3 linked regions of the Yarrowia lipolytica genome follow. The protein of the gene in region 3 purifies or fractionates together with the protein of the main gene of each other region. This does not show direct contact. Links are inferred from orthologs where the notes say so. Each region holds a gene or a part of one and is shown on either strand. Other genes may lie near its edges.

Region 1 (3,499 bases), on a different chromosome or scaffold from region 3:
TGTTCCTGTACTTTCTGTTTCCGGTAATTGAATGTGCAACAATAGTTGTCTCGGAGGGTCGTCCCTCGACCCCTTGCACCACCTTACACCCCCTGAAAATAGCTACGCAACATTCCCGTCGTACAACAACCCCATATCCTTACTCTTGCTGCTCTATCGTCGGAAGTAGTCGGACATAAGCAGGGGTCCCGTTGGACTTGCCTGAAGGGATGAGATGGGTAAGAAACAGTAAACCGATACACGGACAGCAACGGGTAACCGGAGCACCAAAAATCCCAAGTAGATCTCTGAATCGGCTTTGGAAGCGTGTAAATGGGGTGCGTTCAACGAGGTCGTCTGTGTTTCAGCTTGTCTCGGGCGTTGATAGACGAAGAGTGTTAGACACACGACAGAATGGTTTCATACTAGAACATCGATCGTGGCTGGTGTGTAAACTCCAGGGAATAACCTGTGTTTCATAGTATTGGAAACTCCAAGGGCAAGGTTGGTCGTCATCAGCTGTGTATGCTCTTGTAATTACCCATATTCAAAAATACGTAACTCTTCTACCTACAGCCATTCAATAAACATGCTCTATCAATTATATAATTTGTAACTGGACTTTTTGTTCGCTTCGATCACAGTTTCAGACTGTAACCATCCTTGGCTTTCTGATCCCTCTTCAGCTTTCCATCTAGTCCTCTCTTCTCGCCTCTCTTTCCAATCACCGTAACATTACCCTGCTTCAGAGTCTCCATGACCTGGGCCTTGGAGCCCTTGGCATCGCCCTCCTTGGAATGCACCGCAAGAGATCGCTGTCGCTCCTCCTTCTCTGCCAACTGCTTTCCTCGGGCAATCTTCTCCTTCTTCTTGGCTCGCTTTCGCTCTTCTCGGGTCATCTCAGCCTTGGTCTGAGGAAGGCCAGTCGAGCCAGCCAGTCGCTCTCTCTTATCGGCAACCTCGGGCTTGTAAACCTCCTGGGGAGCCAGCTGTTCCTCCTGGGCCAGAGCCTGGGGCTGGGCCTCCTCCATGGAGATGGCAGGAGCGTTGGTGACAATCTGGATGGATTTAGTGGGTTTGGGCTTGTAGGTCCAAGATGACAGAGAATCGAGGGTGTAGGCAACGTCGGCGTATAGGTCTTCGATTTCTCGATGGGCAGCGTCTCGCATTTCGTTAGGGGGCTCGTTCGTCGTCGATGGTTCGGTCTCTCCCATAGCCTCAGCCTCGTACAGATCAGCCAGAGACTTTTGCGACTTTTGCTCAGAGACCTCGATGAGCTTGCTCTTCTTGAACTGAGGCAGGTCGTCAAAGAAACGTCGCGGAAGGTCATCAAACTGGCCGCTCTTGATTCGGGCCTTGATCATGTCTTCCAGCGACTCGGTGACGGCCTGGGTCATGACCGGAACAGGTTTAGCTCCCCGCTCAAAGTCCAGATCCTCCTCCAGCAGCGAGTCCTTAGTTCGCTGGGCTGCTCGAGCCTCTCCCTTAAGGGTCCACTTCTTTTCGCCCACGTTTTCCTTCTCGTACTGGGCAATCTGCTTCATGATTTCCCGTTGCTGTTTCTCAAACGTCGACAGATGCTCGGGGGTGTCTTCGGCAATATCTTCCTCGAACAGATCCTTCTTAACAGAGTTGATCATGTCCTCGTATTCGTTTTCGTCCCCAGATCCCTCCATGTCGAAGTCAGCTTCGTTGTCGTCAGAACCGGCCTCGTTGTCAGACTCATCGTCAGACTCCTCATCCTTGTTCTCCAGAGCCTGTTCGGCAAGCTTTTGTCGCTTGGCAACCCGCTGCTCGTACTGCAGCTTCTTGTCAAACTTGGCCTTGCCGAAAAAGTCGTCGTACTTGATATCGTCGACCGAGTCGTCGCTCTGCTCGCCGAGCTCTTTGTTCCAATCAAAGTCGGGTCCGTCTTCTCCAAAGTTGTCAGCCTCCATGGCCATGATCTGCTTGTTGAACTTGTCGATATCGAAGAAGCCATCATTGAGACCGAATTTATCGGGCTTTTCTTCCCCTCCAGAATCGTCTTCCTCCTCCTCCTCCTCCTCCTCTTCCTCGTCGTCGTCTTCCTTTTCTTCCTCATCTTCATAATCATCAACAAGATTATCCATGTCCATATCAACATCGCTGCCTTCGTTGTCCTCCTCAGTATCGTCCTCGTCGTCCTCGTCGCCATCGTCAAAGACGTCAACTCCCTCATCCTCCTCCTCGCCAACAACCTCCTCTCCAGGAACCTCCTCCTGAGCGCTCTCATACTGGCTCTCGTCGTCACTCTCCTCTTCCTCATCTTCTTGCTCGCTGTCGGGCTGGATCTTGCCGTACTTGGGAAACACCTCGCCAATCATCTTATCACAAACGCCATCGATAACCATCTTGGCCTGAGCCCAGACCATCTCAGCATCCATATCCTGAACATGAATCTGATCAAGCACCGAGTACTGCTCTGAGAGAGGGTCCAGCGCCTCCTTGACCTTGGCAAGAGCCTGCTTCTTGAGCTCAGAATCGGGCACGGCCAACACGCTCAGCGGCTCGTCCAACGTCACAATCGTGGGAATTCCAGACATTGTGCTGTGCTTTTAGTGAATTGTGGTATAAAAAGTCCAAACTGAAAACTTGATCATGCACCCACAGGATTTTTTTCAAATAAACTCAGAGTTTAATCGGATGATTATGTAAGCGAAGGGCAATATGGGGAGAGGAATATGACATATATTTGTGGAATTATAGGGATACCGAATAGTTACAGGAAATTGAACTGGTTATAGAACTTATCATACGTTTACACCCGTCTAAGACTCTTTTACTTGCCACTTTTAGACCCAAGGCTCCCAGCTCACTAAAGTAGCTACTGCACTCACTACTTATAGTCACCCTCTTCGCACTCCACTTGTTTCATCGATTTGGTTACTCATGCTTGGACTTGAAAAAGACCTTTTTGTAGGACATGCAAAGGAGCCAGGTGGCCAACAGGTTGAATCCATGGTGGATCATGAATGCCTGCATCATTCCATAGAACAAACAGTGCAGACTGGTGTATGCCAACAAGAGAGAAGTGATGGAAGAACCACTGGGAATACGCCTGAAGGATAGGTTTTCCACAAACAGCAGTGTGGGGAGAATGGAAACGAGGTTGTGATGGGAAGAAAAGGTCATTGATCGCTGAACAACAATGCCCTGAATCCAGACTGCCAGCACAGGAGCATTTATGATACATGTCCAAGTCATGAGAACACAGATGGTGGAAATGTAGTTGTTGAATGATTGTTCCTGCGGAGCTTTGTTGGACTTGAAGTACGCAGTCATCACCAGAAGAGCCACAGTGGCCAGAGTAAAGGCCAGCTGGTAGGGAAAGAACAGCAGAACCAGAACAGAAATGACAGCCACAAAAACAGTTCTCTTGTGTAAAAGATCGCTGATAGGGTCGCCTGATTCTGACTCTGACTGGGCAGTTGTAGTGCTTTTGAAACAGAAGGACAGAAGAGAAGTCAATCCCATGACCAGTTCTGTGATCAAAACAACC
Region 2 (3,755 bases), on a different chromosome or scaffold from region 3:
GGGGCCACAGTAGCAAGCTCAGCAACAAGGAGCAGGTACTTGTTCTGGATCTGGGCGTTAGAGGCGGTTCGAATAGCAGAAACAACAATGTCGACTCGGATATCTCGATCAATGCTGGCTCCATCGTGTTGGTTGGCTCGAATGATGTTGAGAAGAACATCAGCAAGCAGAGACTGGCAGTAGTCAATAGGCAGGTTGGAGTCGGTTCCGAGAGTCAGAATCTCGCCAAGCTGAGTGAACAAAGGGCCTAGAAGAGCGTCGTCAGTGGTCTTGGATGCAACAAGCAGCTCCAGAACCAGAGAAACCTTTCGCAAGTTTCGCTCAGCAATATGGTGGAGCTTGCCCTGTAGCAGGTTTCGAACGGTGGACGAAGAAGATCGTCTCCGTCGTTTAGTAGACTCGTCAGAAGGAGCATCCATGGAGGTTGTGTTTTGCTCGACCTTGCAGTCATCCAGCAGAGAGATGAAGACCTTGGTAGGGACATCAACGTGAGCGAGAACATCAAGAGAGTCAAAGGGAACGTCCTTGTCAAGGGAAAGATCAACAAAGAATCGGAACAGGCCCAGGTGAGCATCTCCCTTGAGGGTGGGCCACAGCTTGACTAGTCGCTGGGTGACAATATCACATACTTCATCGTAGATAGGGGAGTCGTTCTTGATAAGGGACTCAAGGAACTTGATTCCGGTCTTGTCGGTGACAGTTCGGATTAACTCAGTAATGTACGCCAGATCGTTGGGAGGGTTGATGTACAGAGGCTCAACAACCTTCGTGGTAGGCACAATGGGCTCCTCGGAAGAAGTGACCAGAGTAAGAAGAGATGTTCTAATGGCGATAATCTCCTGAGATACCGCGTGCGAGCCGAGGTAGGCAAGAACCGCGGTTGAGAAGGCGCTCTTGTAACCCTTCTTCTTAGAGATCATATCAGAGACCTGTCGGATAACAAAGGACTCGTCCAGAATACACTCCTCGAGAGACAGAGCGTTAAGAAGGACGGTAACGTCACCAGAACCGAGGTAAGAGCAGTCGTTGGTGTAAATCTTCTCCACTCCCCAGATGGGTTTCTTGTTCTGCTTGGACTTGAGCACTTCGGCGAAGCTAGCAGCGGCCTTTCGGACTCGCTGGGATGCGTCAGAAAGAGCAATGCATGTGTAAGGGATGAGGTTTTGGAAGTCGGCCTCGCCAGCGGCAGTAATAATAGTCTTAGCGGCCTCCACGGCAGCAAGACGCGCCAAAAGAGGTGAGGGAGAAGCCCAAATTCGAGCAAAGAAGGTTAGGGAAGCAATGTCAGAGGAGAACATGCTGACAAACTTGTCCATAGTGTATCCTCGCTCGATGAGCTGAACAAAAATCTTGGAAAGTTCCGCGTAATTCTCGGAGGTCTTGGTTGAGAAGTAGGTGGTGGTCTGAGAAGCGGCTTTCTTGGCCTGCTCAACGAGAGACTCGACATCAACATCCTCCTGGATCTCCTCGACCTCCATCTCCTCGACGGCAGCCTCAGTAAAGACAGTCTGGAGCTTGAGCTCGAGCTGGTCGAGTTCAGGCACAGTCTCACCTCGGGTAACCCACTTGGCGATGACGGGAGCAGCCAGAGCAGCAACAGACGTGTTGGTCTCCTTTGCAAGGGCCCAGTCAACAATGTAACGCATAAGGAAGGTGGACTCGTTAGAGCCAAACTGGGTGTTGGAAATGATCTCTTCAAGACCCTTGAAATTGGCAGCGTCGGGGTTCCGGAGCAGAGCCATGCAGTATCCGAGGGTGAAAAGAGCCATCTTGTACTTCTGAGATAGGGCGACAACATCTGAAGGCTGAAAACCGGCCTTGTTGAGAGCGGTCATGACGCTAGTGGGCAGCACCTCGGGCTCCTGCTTTTGTTGGTACATCTGGGTGATGCAAAGAATACCGCTCTTGATGGCCTTCTGGGTCCAGTTTGCAGCGATGGTCTCAACGAGAGCGTTGAATACCTCCTTGTTGAGAGGCATTTTGTTACCAAGAACAGTCAGAACCATGTAGGCAGCAATCTGGCAGTCGGTATCGATGGTGACAACGAGCTTGGCCAGAGCCGGCAGGTAGATCTCCAGCATTCGCTCGGGGTCAGCCTTGTCGGCGACCAGGCCGTAGATGGCAAACTGCGACCAGAAAGACAGCTGTCGCTGGTATGAGGTCTTTGTGGTAGTCTGACCAACGATATACTCGGTGATGAGTTCAAACAGACGCATATCAGCACTGAAGGCTCGGATCAACAGGTTTCGAGGGGGGTTCTGGGCAGCAGACTTGCTCTTGTTAAGGAAAACAAACAGGGGAGGGAGCTTGATGATGACATCGGCGACCCGCAGGTAAATGTCCTGGTCGTAATAGGGGAGGACACACAGGAGAAGCTGCTCAGCGTTCATCTGGTTGACATGGAAACGTCGGACGAGCCATTCCAAGGCCTTGACGGCAGGGGAGAGCATCAGGTAGGGTCCAATTAGAGAAAGGAACGCCGAAATGGCCTTGTCGAGCAGGTCGTTCTGCTCCTGGGTCTGCACATATCGATCGACATCAATAGAGGTGTCGCTGAACAGGTTATTCTCGAACTGAGCGAATCGGGAGTCCAGAGAGACGAGATCTCGCAGGCCTTCAACACCAACAGCGTGGATAAAAGAAAAGTCCTGATCCTGGGCAACCTGAGGCTCGTAAATGAGCGACTTGGAGTGCTGCTTGAGCTTCCAGGTTCGGTCGACGGTAGATCCGCCGCCGAGTTGGGACAGCTGTTGAGAAAGGGTAGACACTGGGTTAGTTTAATGGACGAGGAGTGACAATATGACTGTCGTCCCCAGTTTTTGGTACTCACTTATTCCCTTTAATTAATACTGTCGTTGACGAATGTGGTTGTGTATGTAGGTTTTCTGAAATTTCACCTCAATCTCTTCACAAAAAAATTGTTTAGCCTTGCATTGCATACTTGAGGTTATGAGTGTGAAGAATGTGTCCAGTATACAAGTATCGGTATATACTGTATGAAGAAGGTAATTGGAACAGATAACACTATCTAGGGATTATGTCATTAATGGATATTGTTGGATGCATGTAAAATTTTTCTGGTTTGGGGACGTATTTTAGACTTTATAGTGTCTACAGCTAGAGTGTAGAACTTTTTCAACTAACTCTAGCCCATTACTTGGTTTATACATGATCCAATAGATGAGAAGTCCCACCTGCCCCAGAGTCCAGACCACATAAACACCTAGCTGTCTCAAGAATGTCCGACGTGACATAGTCACTGTCGTCTGTCTCAGTCAATTGCTGTCGTATACGTTCCTCGTAGCCGCGACCATATTTTCCTCATAAGCCGTTCCATCAACTCGTACAAAGCAGCATCGTTGCTTGAAGTTCAGGATTAGCTTCGATGATGCATGAGCAATGTGATGAAGCGAAATCGAAGCGTAACCTGATACCAAAACAGTCTACGCTACAATACATAACCATGACCAGCACTCTGAGCACGACCAAGAACCACCTGGTGATTCTGCCACCAACCACAAAACCAACAATTGTGTCGTTGACACACCCTCGAACCAGAAACCTGGCTCGATTCGTCGTTGACTCCTCCGACCCCAAGCACACTAAGGTATACGAAATCACCCAGATCAACGGCTCCAATGCGCACTTCGAGGGCACACCTGATCCCCGAAGCATCATTTTACAAGTCGAGGGTGACAAGGGAAGTGTGATTCAGGATCCCTCGGTCTTCATGACCACTCCCTTCTCTCCACTAT
Region 3 (3,050 bases):
AACTTTCCTTTTCTCTCCAGCTACAGTATATAAATTTCAGTGTCTCCATCTTTCGTTTGGCCCTCGCCATCTGAGTCACGTGACTCCCAACCAACATGCATATATGCAAACCGTGTCCTGTGTGCGTACATACTGACAGTATAGCGACAGTCCAACCGCCATACACAATGTCTCTTCCATTCCCCGTCCAGATCGACAGAGACCGGATCTCGTCGGGAGACGACCTGTTGTCGCAGGAACTGACGCAATTCAAGGCGCTAGAGGACCTCAAGTCCGAGTTCGGCCAGTGGATCCAGATTCTTGAAAACGAGGTCGTGGAGCTCATCAACAAGGAGTACCAACAGTTTGTGGCGCTCGGAAACTCGGTCAGCGGTGGCAACAGCAAGGTGCAGGAGATCAAGCATCGATTGGTGCTGTTCCAACGCCAGGTGGAGCAGGTCAAGCAGGAGGTCGACGCTACAGCAGAACGGATTGCCAAGGTGCTGAAGAGCCAAAACCAACTGCTGGAGGAACGACAGCGCGCAATGGAACTCATTCTGTATATTCGGGCGTTCCAGGAGGTCGAGCTACGTGTCGGTCAAGTGGGAGGTGCTGATTCGTCTGACCCCGAGGAAGTGTTGGATCTGTCCAACCAGCTCATCAAGCTGCACGAGACCCGCAACGCCCATCCAGAGGCGGCAGTCATGAAATCGTCTGCATCCAGACTGACCACTTTATGTGGACTGGTCATCACAGCTCTGTGCAACAGTGCCAAAACGAACCAAGAAGAGGGTCTTGACTTGTTGCGACAGGTGCATGTTCTCCGGCGTTTGCAGATGTAACCACCCCTTTGTCGGTTGTATTGATATAGGTCAAATTATTTATTGTTTATCAACAATACGATTTTCGTAGCTTTCGTAGTTCTCACCTTTGGTACCATGGTTGCTTATTAAGTATTTGCTTATTAAGAACTCTATCAGACGTCCTACACCTTAAGTCTAATTTTTTCGAGGCTTGCATCAACAGAAAATTTATGCCATATCAACTCTGAAAATCCTCACACAAGACGATAGCATGGTTGATTCATTCTTTTCAAACCCGAAAAAGAGGAGCAAGGCCCCCAAGCGGGATGAGCGACGAGGCAAGAAGGCGGTCGCCAAACCCCAGCGCCCCAACGTGGCAGATGAAGACATTACTTCTGAGAGTGAAAATGAAGAGGAGCAGTTCTTTGAGAACCCCGACACGGCAAACTCCAGTGAGGACGAGGAGGAGACCCAGGCTGACAAGCGACGACGACTCGCCAACCAGTACCTGGAGAACCTGAAGGATGAGATGGGCGAGATAGGATTCGACGCTGCTGATCTTGATCGAGAGAATCTTTCAAGGCGCCTGGAGGAGGATGTGGCTGAGGATAAGGGTCTGATTTACCGATTCCTGGACGTCAAGGCCAACTCCTTTTCACGAGTTCACAAGAGCAGATTCCGACCAACCGCCGTGGCCTGTCGATACCCTTATGCCTACACAGTTGGACGAGATGTCGAGCTGGTCAAGTGGGATATCAGTGATGTGACTAAGCCTCGAGTGCTCAAGGTTGTTTATGGCAACCGTCACGCCTCCAAGGATGCCTTCAACCCCAAGGAGGATTACAAGGGCCACATTGACGACATTCTGTGTGTGGCAGTGTCTCCCGATGGCAAGTACGTTGCCACCGGATCCAAGGATAAGACCATCTGTGTCTGGGCAGCCGAGAGTCTGTCGTGCCTGCATGTTTTCCACACCCGAGATCGACGGGGAGTCGTCATGGGTCTGGCCTTTCGACGAAACACAAACCAGCTGTATGCTGCATGTGCTGATCTCAAGGTCCGAACCTTCTCTCTGGACCAAATGTCGCAAGTGGAGACGCTTTTCGGTCATCAGGATGTGGTTGCAGACATTTCGGCTCTGGCTGGCGAGAGATGCCTGACTGTGGGCTCTCGAGACCGAACTGCTGTGGTGTGGAAGATTGCTGACGAGTCGCGTCTGACTTTCCGGGGAGGAGACATCAAGGACTTCCCCGAGGGCTCCATCGACTGCTGTTCCATGATTGATTCACACTACTTCGTCACGGGCTCAGACAACGGCTCCATTTGTCTGTGGTCCCTGAGCAAGAAGAAGCCTGTCTTCATTGAGAGACGAGCGCATGGAGTTGAGGAGAGACCCGAGACTGATCTTCCACATACCGGAGAGGCTGAGGCCGACAAGGTGCCTCTCCCTGCCCAATCTCCCCGATACATTACTGCAATCCACGCCATCCCCTACTCAGACATTTTCCTTACCGGATCATGGAGTGGAGAGATCAAGGTGTGGAAGCTGGGATCCGAGATGCGGTCTTTCACCCAGATTGCCACTCTGCCCAATGTCAAGGGCGTGGTGGACTCTATCGATGTCAGTGAGCACGGATCTCGAGGCAAAGAGGTTTTCGCCGTGGTTGCTGCGGTCTCCAAGCAGCTGCGAATCGGCCGGTTCCTCAACGTGGGAGGAAGAAATGGTTTGTACACTGGAGAATTGGTCTTGTAAGCATGTGAAGGGAGGACTAGAGCATTAATAGAAAACGGTTGCTAAGCGACTGTAAGGATTGAATAAATCGATGTATATGAAATTGTGTCAGAGTGCGTATAATTAAGTAAATAGTTCAAGACTGAACGATGAGAACATGTGTTATCCACGGTTCATTCTGAGAAAAACAGTAAACATGATAGTGTAAAAGTCAGACAGACGATATGACGTCACAGTCATGGGCTGATAGTAACTTGTTCTGAGTGTAGTTATCCTGCCGCTGTTCATCACCCAGTAATATCACATTATTTCGCAATTAATTAATTAGGCTTTAGTTGAAGAACAATTTTACAGTCAACAGTGTAAATACATTGTTCCTTGGAAAATTGAGAGAAATGAAGTATGTTATTATGTAGAGAAAGTGTCTTTTGATCTATTTATGAGACTACTGTAAAAGTACAAGTACAAGTCCAAATAATTCGCCAATTGCAGGTCCACAAAAATTGGATCTTCCTATTTACAAGTACAGTACATAC

What was found.
Region 1: the proteins of YALI1_A21630g (region 3) and YALI1_B13586g purify together in Saccharomyces cerevisiae (affinity purification with mass spectrometry; 4 studies listed by BioGRID, with this or other methods). This does not show direct contact. The link is inferred for Yarrowia lipolytica from reciprocal best matches to the Saccharomyces cerevisiae genes RRP9 and MPP10.
Region 2: the proteins of YALI1_A21630g (region 3) and YALI1_E34933g purify together in Saccharomyces cerevisiae (affinity purification with mass spectrometry; 5 studies listed by BioGRID). This does not show direct contact. The link is inferred for Yarrowia lipolytica from reciprocal best matches to the Saccharomyces cerevisiae genes RRP9 and UTP10.

The regions. Positions count from the first base shown.
Region 1 is NC_090771.1:1,357,693-1,361,191, reverse strand, and holds YALI1_B13586g (uncharacterized protein), read right to left. Parts: upstream 2,544-3,499; coding exon 618-2,543; downstream 1-617. Other genes in the region: YALI1_B13556g (uncharacterized protein), read right to left, coding at 2,884-3,499. UniProt on the Saccharomyces cerevisiae protein: Involved in nucleolar processing of pre-18S ribosomal RNA. Required for the early cleavages at sites A0, A1 and A2 during 18S ribosomal pre-RNA processing.
Region 2 is NC_090774.1:3,490,882-3,494,636, forward strand, and holds the start of YALI1_E34933g (uncharacterized protein), read right to left. Parts: upstream 2,451-3,755; coding exon 1-2,450. Other genes in the region: YALI1_E34942g (uncharacterized protein), read left to right, coding at 3,386-3,755. UniProt on the Saccharomyces cerevisiae protein: Involved in nucleolar processing of pre-18S ribosomal RNA. Required for optimal pre-ribosomal RNA transcription by RNA polymerase I together with a subset of U3 proteins required for transcription (t-UTPs). Involved in ribosome biosynthesis.
Region 3 is NC_090770.1:2,161,872-2,164,921, forward strand, and holds YALI1_A21630g (uncharacterized protein), read left to right. Parts: upstream 1-1,053; coding exon 1,054-2,535; downstream 2,536-3,050. Other genes in the region: YALI1_A21620g (uncharacterized protein), read left to right, coding at 96-821. UniProt on the Saccharomyces cerevisiae protein: Involved in nucleolar processing of pre-18S ribosomal RNA. Required for efficient pre-rRNA cleavage at sites A0, A1 and A2, and biosynthesis of 18S rRNA.